Linked DNA regions of Drosophila melanogaster. The protein of the gene in region 1 purifies or fractionates together with the protein of each later gene. This does not show direct contact. Each region holds a gene or a part of one and is shown on either strand. Other genes may lie near its edges.

Evidence for each region.
Region 2: the proteins of Lkb1 (region 1) and Mo25 purify together in Drosophila melanogaster (affinity purification with western blotting; 2 studies listed by BioGRID, with this or other methods). This does not show direct contact.

Annotation. Positions count from the first base shown.
Region 1 is NT_033777.3:13,674,612-13,680,031, forward strand, and holds Lkb1 (Lkb1 kinase), read left to right. Parts: upstream 1-1,937; 5' UTR 1,938-2,333; intron 2,334-2,404; 5' UTR 2,405-2,498; coding exon 2,499-3,601; intron 3,602-3,667; coding exon 3,668-3,862; intron 3,863-3,923; coding exon 3,924-4,081; intron 4,082-4,138; coding exon 4,139-4,386; 3' UTR 4,387-4,455; exon of another isoform or gene 4,456-4,529; 3' UTR 4,530-4,819; downstream 4,820-5,420. Other genes in the region: CG9588 (uncharacterized protein), read right to left, coding at 892-1,125, 1,190-1,516, 1,817-1,918; omd (oocyte maintenance defects), read right to left, coding at 5,120-5,401.
Region 2 is NT_037436.4:16,612,718-16,617,468, forward strand, and holds Mo25 (Mo25), read right to left. Parts: upstream 2,756-4,751; 5' UTR 2,453-2,755; coding exon 1,433-2,452; 3' UTR 501-1,432; downstream 1-500. Other genes in the region: CG4101 (uncharacterized protein), read left to right, coding at 1-122.

The DNA.
Region 1 (5,420 bases):
TCGTCCTGCCAAATTCGCTCTCTTCGCGGAAAATCTCTCTCACTGTTAAGCTAACATGTGTCCTAACCGGTTAAGCGAATTCTGTTACGGAATTTGGTTCGAGTCTGGGCTGCAGACTGTTGCATTTAATTTAAAAAAAACCTGATATAAAAAACGAAACAAATAAAATGACTTTGCCATCTCATAAAAACTATTATTCCAATTGATTAACAATACACTCTTTCAATTAAATTGCTCACGTCAGATATATAAATAATTTTATCTTAAGAAGGAGTACAGTTTTAAAGCCATTGTGCCCTGACTAAGCGCTTGAGCATTGGTTGAAAACTTGGCTAGTACCTGGATGTTCAAAAACAGAACTTTTAAAATCGAACATTTCTTTAGAATTTGTTTCTCTGTTAAATTGAAATGTTCATAAGAAGAATAAACCATAGTCTTCTGCAAAAACGTTTATGCTTTTAGATAATAATTTCCAAATTTGTTTTTTATATTTTTAATTATATATCCTTCTTTATTTACCAGTAAAAGCGCTATAAAAACTTATTTGTTAGTAAAACCGCCTCATCATTTTGTTACGCATCATTTCATATTGAATGAAAATTAAATGCAAAAAAAATCGGTCATGTCGACAGAATCCACCGAATCACAATATCATCCTTTTGCCTGTCACCTGTGCACCTTGGGTCACTCCACTGCTGCTCCTTGGCCCACTGACCCGGCTGTCAGTCAGCGAGATGACTCCAGCTGAAATTGCCCTGAAATCGCGTCCAAAAATCAATTTTCACAATTTGGAGCAACCATGTTCGTCGGCCTGGCAGAGATGGGCTGATAACTAAAGTGCAGGGCAGGAGTGCACAGGCAACTCGAAAAAAGCTTAAACACAAAGCTACATCAGTGATCCATCGCCTCGGGCGGCAGGACGATGTTGCAGCCCAGGAGACCGCGTCCACTCCACGTTTTCGGCACCAGGATGAGGTCCAACTGCTGCTCGCCGCGCTTCACTTTCAGCTGGACATTCTGGCTCTGCATGTTGCGCACCAGCTCGCCAATCTGGGCGAGATCTCCCTTGAAGTTGCCGCTATTGATGGAGCCAAAGCGGAGGATGGCATCGCCGGCACAGAGACCCTTAAATGGTAAAGATGGCCCATCTCAATGCTGTGATCTTCGCTTGTTTACTACATTCACTCACAGCTCTTTCGGCGGGCGAATCGGGACTGACCAGATTGACCACCACGATGGCGCGTGCAGGAGCAAGATCCGTGATATTAGCGCCACCGGGTGAACGGTCGCTGTCCAGGTCCAAAGCGGAGGCGCGGTTCACCAGCTCCGGATCTGTGGTGGCAATCTCGCTGTGATATTGGTTGAGCAGCGTCTGGATCTGGTTCATCAGCTCCTTGTGGTCGTTCTGCAGGCAGATGATCGTCTGTCGCGCCAGGCGCACCTGGTAAACGTCGATGTCGTTGCGCGGAAAACCCTCGGCGTCCACCAGTGGTCCACTCATGCCCACATTGTCGTTCTGGAAGGAAGATATCATTATCAATGCTATACAGCATAAACAAAAGAATGTACTCAAAATACAATTGTGTATATACCCTACACCAAAGCATAGGATAATGCTGTAATGCTTGCCCAAGTGGACATACCCTAACCAACAGTAGGGTATTGAATATATCAACATTTGGCTTGGCGGTCCGTCCAAGTTGAAGAACCTGCGATCATGAATATCCACGGTGGTGCGTCACCAACAGCTTGCCACAGTGTGCATACCCTATCCCGGATGCAGGGTATCCCCGGATGAGCAAGCGAATTTACTTACGGCGGCCAGGATCTGTCCGTTTCTGTTGATCTGCGCCTCCAGCTGCTTTTTAGCGTTAATCAGACGCTCCAGGCGCTCCTTGGTCGTCGTCCCAGCGGCCATGACTTCCACTTCGATTCGAGTTATTCCAGCGTTCGTCCCGAAAAATACAAATTTATTATTTTTCGTTAATGTTTTTTTTTTTCAGCAGCGACAGTAGCAACAACAACCAGTGCTCGTGCAGCCCTGGTTGCCCGCGACCAGTGTGACCGTATTGCGGCGAACTTACTTTGGCCAAAAACTAATTGTTAAACAATTTTTCGGAAGGGGAAAAGAACAAATTGAACGGCGAGAGTAAACACAGGAATTCACAAATTTCTATGAGAAACAGATCGCACGACGGTGAAACGAAAGGGGGGAACGCCTTTCCAGCGGACATCGCAGAATAGACGACGGGCGACGAGGGACCTCGAAAAATCGCACGGCAATCAATTCGAGTGTGTGCGAATTGATTACAAAAATAAAGGTATTTCGAGAGGTGAGCGATAAAAGCGCGTGTGTGCCTGGTGAGGATTAGGTGTAGCCATGAACTAACCAAACGTTTTGCAGCCACAGGCAACACAGGGACCACACCGTCCACTCCCATCCGCCGGAGTGGGGCTGCCACCTGCGATATGTGATCATTGGGGCTCCGCGGAGGTTTATGCAATGTTCTAGCTCTCGGCCAGTCGGAGGTAAAGCAGCCGGTGGAGCAGAAGCAGGAGGGGCAGGAGCAACAGGCCAGATGACTGTGACCACCATGGAGGCACAGGTCAAGGCAGCACACCATCATCATCTACATCATCCCACGGGCGGAGGGGCCCAGCACAAGGTGGAGGAGGAGGAGCCGGATCCTGTTGAGGACGAGATGACCGTACTGCTGGCCAATAAGAACTTTCACTATGACGTCGCCTCCGATCTGGACGACGACGCTTTTGTGGAGCTCAAAGAAGACACCGCCCAAGCGGATGATGCGGGCGCGGGCGTTGGCTTCTACAATCCGGATGAACTGCTGCTCGATGACCAGCCACATCCGCAAGTCACGTGGCTGGACGACGACGAGATCGAGACGCTCGATCGCGTGACGCTGGACATGGGTAATATGTTCTTCAATCGCGTCGACAGCCAGGACATCATCTATCAGCAGAAAAAGAAGAGCATTAAGATGGTGGGCAAGTACATAATGGGCGATGTTCTCGGCGAGGGATCGTACGGCAAGGTGAAGGAGGCCATGAACTCGGAGAACCTGTGCCGCCTGGCCGTCAAGATCCTGACTAAGCGGAAGTTGCGCCGGATTCCCAACGGCGAACAGAACGTAACGCGCGAGATCGCCTTGCTGAAGCAGCTGAAGCATCGACATGTCGTGGAGCTGGTCGATGTTTTGTACAACGAGGAGAAGCAGAAAATGTACTTGGTCATGGAGTACTGTGTCGGCGGGCTGCAGGAGATGATTGACTATCAGCCAGACAAGCGGATGCCGCTGTTTCAGGCGCACGGTTACTTCAAACAGCTAGTCGACGGCCTGGAGTACTTGCACAGCTGCCGGGTCATCCACAAGGATATCAAGCCAGGCAACCTGCTGCTCTCCCTGGATCAAACGCTGAAGATATCCGACTTCGGTGTGGCGGAGCAACTGGATCTGTTCGCACCTGACGACACATGCACGACGGGCCAAGGTTCTCCGGCCTTCCAGCCACCGGAGATTGCCAACGGACACGAGACGTTCGCCGGCTTCAAGGTGGACATCTGGTCCAGCGGAGTGACTCTGTAAGCCTTCCTTGTATAATATCATGTATTAAATGTATATACTGTACTAATCTAACGGATTTGCAGCTACAATTTGGCCACTGGACAGTATCCCTTCGAGGGCGACAATATCTACCGACTGCTGGAGAACATCGGGCGAGGTCAGTGGGAGGCGCCCGCGTGGCTATACGAAATGGACGCGGACTTTGCCAACCTGATTCTCGGCATGCTTCAGGCTGATCCCAGTAAACGCCTCTCTCTGCAGGAAATACGCCACGACACGTAAGTAGGAATATTCCTTGATTGCACTTCATGATAACTGATTGTTATAATCTGCTTTTAGTTGGTTCCGATCCGCACCGGTTAAGACCGGCCCACCGATACCCATTCCCCCCCTGAAGGGTGACAAATACCGCAACTCCACGGTGATACCTTACTTGGAAGCTTACCACTACGGCACCCAGGAGGAGGATGTCTACTTTACAGAACACGACGTAAATCGTACGTACCAACATCAATCTAATGCCGAGTGAACTACTTTCATGGTTACCTTTACAGAGGAGCTCGCCCGCCAAGCGGCAGCTGCTGCCTCCGAAATTCGGGCCAAACAGTCGGCGGCAGCCCTAGCCGCCTGCCACACCTACGAACCGCCCTCCACAAGTGCCGCAGCCGCCAGCAATTCGCTGGGCAACGGTAGCAGAGAGGAGGCGCCCGTCAAGAAGAAGGGATCGGCACTGAAGAGGCGCGCCAAGAAGCTGACGTCCTGCATCTCCGTGCGCAAGCTGAGCCACTGCCGAACTTCGTAGGCGCCTTAGATGCCTCCACTAAACATAGATGCTAAGATTTATCGAAAGGAATAACTTTGTTAACAAATTGTGAGCAACTTTTTGGTTTTGTTTTCCCGTTTTTATTCTGTTGTCCTACATTCGCCAAGTATTTGTAACCATAGAATCATGTAGGAAATTCAGGCGCAACCTCGTACCGCCCGAGCAGCAGGAGCAGCAGCGGTCGCATCAACAGCAGCAACAGCCCGCATCAGCGGAGTTGGCTGTGGAATTGGGGAGCTATGGGAGCGACACGAAAGCTATATATCCATGTGACAATACTGTGTATTATATGAAACAAATGAATGCGTAAATTAGTCGTTAATATATTATGATGTACTGAAGGCAGCCGAGGATTGCCGGAGGAGACGGTGCCCATTGGTGCGTCGCACACATAAAGAAATATGTTCAAGTGAAATTGTTTGTTGGCTTCGTTATATTCTAAACTACACACGACGAATGATGCGATTTTCAGGCGCCGTCGGTACAATAACTGCTGGACAGTATTTGCAAGGCCTAGGTTGAGATTTTAATTTTTACAAACCAATGAAACGAAAATAAAAGAACCCATTGAATATCAAAATACAAACACTGCATTTAGTTCGCACATTTCGCACATTCCAAATTCCACACTCAACACTCGCAGACGCTCCATTATTCCATGCACACACGCTCATGCTCACACTACAACATTAGGCTAGCTAACTACGTTTGCTTAATCTATTTCAACGATCTGCAGCCGGGCCGTCGGATCTGGCTCTGAGTCGCCCTCCATCAGCTCGCCCATGATGAACATCTGATGGTAGTGGGGGCCCAGGGTGGACAGCTTACGCTGCATTAGGTGGCGCAACGGGTCCACATATTGCGGCGGCACCTTGGCCAGCTGTGTATTCGTGTTGCGCCAGTGCAGCCCGTTGTTGTCCACGTGAAACAGCGCCGGCGAGGGCACGTGATCTTTAAGATAGTTCCAGATGCACTCGCGCAGCAGCAGGGCAATCTGGAAATGTCATACATTA
Region 2 (4,751 bases), on another chromosome or scaffold:
TGGAGAATAACCCGGATGGCCAAAGTAATCCGGAGTCCGGCGAAGTGACGGAGCGGGAGGGCGAGCCGGTCCGGACGCGCCTGCACAAGATTCGTAAGCTGGAGAAGAAGAAGCGACGATAGATGTAGCCATCCTTAATATATACATATGTAGCTAGCCTAAGAACTCTCGAATTCATTTATTAAGATAATTGTAATAAAACCTAGTCGACAACGATTAAAGTAGAAGCCTGCACACATTTGAAAACTCCTTCATGGGATTCCTACAGCAGGCTGAGTCCTGGAATGGACTCATTTACTCATTTAGGCACACCTTGAAACGTGATTTGAAATCTCTTTTGGTTTCGGTGGCATTCCCAGCGTGTGAATCATCTCCCCAGCCCTTGATCGACGTTTTTTGGGTGAGGTTGCCGCCCTGGCACGATTTTTTGCACATGACTCAGGGGGGAGCTGCACGCCCCCTGAGAAAACCACCGCCCACAGTGGAAAAACTGCTGATTTGTTTGGCTGTTATCTTTAATTTGGGAATAATATAAATTATAATAATCGTATAGTTATTATGTTGCTTGCAATGTTGTTGTTTCTTGTTTTACTTCCCTTTTAACTATGTACGTATGCATGTGTGTAGTGTGTGTGTGTGTTGAATGCTTTCTCTCTCTTTTTCTTTCTCTTGCTCTTTCTATATATATATATCAGTGTATATATAGTAGAGTCCATGCCGAAGGATGCACAGACAATTATCACTATGAATTATTATTATTTTTATGCAGTATTTAGTTTTCGTTCTTTTCATGAATTTTGCGTGGAATTACATTTTTAAGTCAAAACTCATTGTGAATCTTCAGTTTTTTTTTTTTGGGGCGCAAAAGGGGCGTGGCAGGTCAAGGCGGTGAAGGGATATCTCGTTTCAAAAACGATCAAATTTTAAATACAACAACTAGTTAAATGGATATCGAAAAAAAGGGTCTGGAAAGGAAGGGGGATTACTTCGCGGAGGATCGACGAATGGTTAAACATATCTGTATAATAGGATAGCGGATCTCTAGGCCCAGAATGTCTAAATGTGGCTATGTTAAATTCGAAACTCTCGGTACAGTTTTATTTTTCGGCGTTACGCTATTTACTCGTACTTTTTCTTGTTTTCTAATTCGCTTTATCGTTATTTTTATCATTATCATCATCAGTGTTGTTTTTGTTGTTGTCTAAATTATTGTTTAGTTACTCACAAGTGTAGAGTCATCAGCGTCACAAAATATAGTATATAATATATATTTGCTTTAACCCACACACAAAACATGTTCACATCCTGCTAACCCACCATCGCTCTCTCTGCTTCCGTATCGATCGCTTCTGGCTTCTGGCTACGGTCCTTTTGCCCCCGGGACGCTGGAGCTGGAGTTGGAGCTGAAGTTGGAGCCGAGGTGGAGGTCCAACTAAGCCTCGGGCAGCGGCTTCAGCTCCTTTATCTGCTTGATCAGATAGGCCTTCTCGTCGTTGAACTGCTCGTCCTCGGAGCGATCCGTATGGAAGTTGGTCAGAAAGTCGACCAGCTTCGTCTGGTTGCGCAGCAGGATGTCCAGAATGGGCTTCGGCTTGTTGGGATTGGCCACGAACACCTTGAAGACGTGAAACGCCTCGAACTGAATGTTGCGCGACTTTTCCTTGAGCATGTTCATCATTAGCTTGAGGTTCTCCGGCTCGGATATGTAGCGCGTCATCACGGTGAAATTGTGCCGGTCCAGCAGCAGTTCCCCAAGCAGCTTCAAGCTCTGACGCCGCGTCACATAGTTCTCCGAGTTGAGCAGGCGCTGGTAGTGCTGCGAGAAGAACTTGTCGTAGTTGGCGTCCAGAAACTCCGCGCACAGCAGCTTATGGCGCGTGAGCAGCTCCTTGAACGTAGAAAAGGCATCGCTGGCAATGTCAAAGGTGGAAACCTCCACGTAGCGGAAGAACTTGAAGAACTCATCCGAGTGCAGCATGATCTTGGCCAGCGCCTCGTACCGGGCGCACTCCCTCAGCATGGTACCGGAGTTCAGTGCGATCTCCGGATGCGCATCTTCGTAGCCGGCCATCAGGGTGAACAGGATCTCCGGCTTCGTGCATATATACTCGACGGTGGGCGAACGGGTGCCAATCTGGCGGCGCAGCACATTATTGAAAATGAGCGCCACATGCTTCTTGCCCTCGAAATCGATGCGGTGCAGGTTCTGGATGAGCAGCAGCAGCAGGTTGCTGTTGTACAGCTCCTGGGACAGCTGGGCCACCACGTAGTCCGCCGGCGGCTCGGCATCGCTGCTACCGTACAGCATGTTCTTGATCGAGACCAGGTTCTTGCTGACGTCCTCCTGCGCCTTCTCCACCTTGCGGTCGCCCGCCTCCAGGGCGTTGATCGCCTCCTTCAGCGACTTGACCAGCTCCACTGGCGACTTCTGTGACTTCCCGAACAGTGGCATTTCGCTGTCTCACTCGCTGTTTCACTCGAAATGGGATTTGGACGTGGATTTGGATTGGGATTTGACTGCGGATGTGGTTGTCGTTGTGGTTTAGTTGGCCTGTCGATGATGCCTCGTACTTTCTGCCGATTATCCTGCTGTTCGGGGCCCTTCGGCTTTTTGGTCGTTCTGACTGTTGCCCAATTACCGACGGCAAAGACGCGGAAAACAATGCTTGGCAATATTATCACGGTGGAATATTCTATTATTATATATTATTTTTTTCTTGTCTTCTTCCAGGGATGAACAATTTCGATTGGCCGACGTTTCGATAGACGACGGCTCGATACAAGTATCGCATTGCTGGCGGGCAGTGTTGTAAAGGCTCGTTAGCTAAGCACAACACTAAAATTGAATTTTAAATTAAAAAATTACCAATCCTTTTATGGCTTTATAATATTAATATAAACATTAAAGATTCGAAAATTGTAAACTTGTTGACAAACTTTTGTTTATAGCCGTAAAATCAATATTATATAAAATTAATTACAGATTAATTTTTTGTTGCTTTTCTATAAAAGGGTAATCTGAAAAGGGAAAAAAGCATTGTCTTTGTTATTTCGCCCTAGAAAGGCGAAATAACAAATAATAATACATTGGTATTTAATACGAATATAAGTTTATAGGTTTCAAAATATAAATACCCAACGCCCAATTCATCCCGTTAGAACATGGTAGTTTGAATTCTTTAAATATCGTTTTATTTCTCATTGAAGTACTTTGTTTTTGATCCGTTTTCGTTTTAGATATTATTCTTTAGCGCTTATCAGGCGCTTGGTGTATTATAGAAGTTACAGAAATATATTTGTGTATATGCTGGCAACTTTTCGCTTTCGCCTCGCCAGCTGTGTTGGCCCATTTTTGTTTCTTTTTTGACATTTTTTTCGATTCCGGGCCAAGGAAGAGGACTTTTCGGGTTGTAGGGAAAGGCATAAGTTTATTGTATGCACATCAATATTTGTAATTATATCTGTAGGTTTGACCGCCCTGCATATTATCGCAGACTGCCCCACGCCTCACTGTCTCGATTCGTTTATTTTGAAATAAATGTTTTTCGTTTCGTTTTTGTTGTTTTTTTTTAATTTTTATGTGATTTTTGTTTACGTATAAAAGTTGTTTAAAATCTTTGAAAATATCAGATAATAATTACAGTTGGTTGTGTAATACGTCTTAAAAGCATTTCGATGCGCTTCGTTCTCGAACATAGATTAAACATAAATCAATATAGTCTTTGCCACTAAACATATCAATTTGAGTAGTAGTAGTTGTAGTTAGTTAATAATAATATCTTTGGGCTTCGCTACTGTGTATGCAATGGTTACGCCGAGCACATATAGATCATGATCATAGACATATAGTGACGTATTTGGGTGGTCCAAACCAGCCACTTCCATTATTTCAAAGAAATCAGTAATGCACTCTAGTAATTTTCCATAACGTATCCCAGCTGCGCAGCATTCGTTTATCTTTGGCAGCGCAGCCGTTCTTGTAAACATCCTAAAGCCTGACCTAAGCAGATTTGACTGCCCTCTTTCAACGCTACCTAATCTTAAGAACCCAAGAGCGAGGCTCTCCCGAAATACAAATATTGTTCAAATACTGAGGCTTCTCCTCAATCCAATTTGCATTTGATTTTTAGTCTTAAGCTGAGATCCAAAGAATAAAGTCGTGAAACTATTTCTCCTAAAAACTATTTTTTATTTCTTGGCGTTGTCCTTAGTCAACTGACGGGACATTAGTTCGACTCATAAATAAAACAACAATTTTACTGGCGCAGTCGGTAGGATACAAAAGTATCCGAAAAAAAAGAACCTTCGAGTGGAAAATAAGTTAAATTTTATAGTCCAGTGCTCGAAACATCTCCCAAAATAAATTCGTGAAAACTCTTCAACTTGGATTATAATTCCAATTCGGTTATCCAATAATAAGTGGAAGTGAAATACGAAACAAAAATATTAAGTCCAAAGGCAACTAAGTTTTAAAACCAACATATAAAAATAAAAAATTAAAACAATATAGAATTTTAATAATACAACACAAAAATTTACAAAACAAAAAAAAAAAACAAGTGAAACTAGAAAGCTTAAAAATAATAATAACATTGAATCCGAAACAAAACAAAAAAATAAAACACAAAAGTTAAAAATTTTACAATAAAAATGTCACAACCAATTATTGCGCTGAGCGACATAAACCTTGCCGAAGCCCGTCGGCAGCTTAAAGACATTATGCCATTCAAGGGTGATCCAGAAACCCTTCA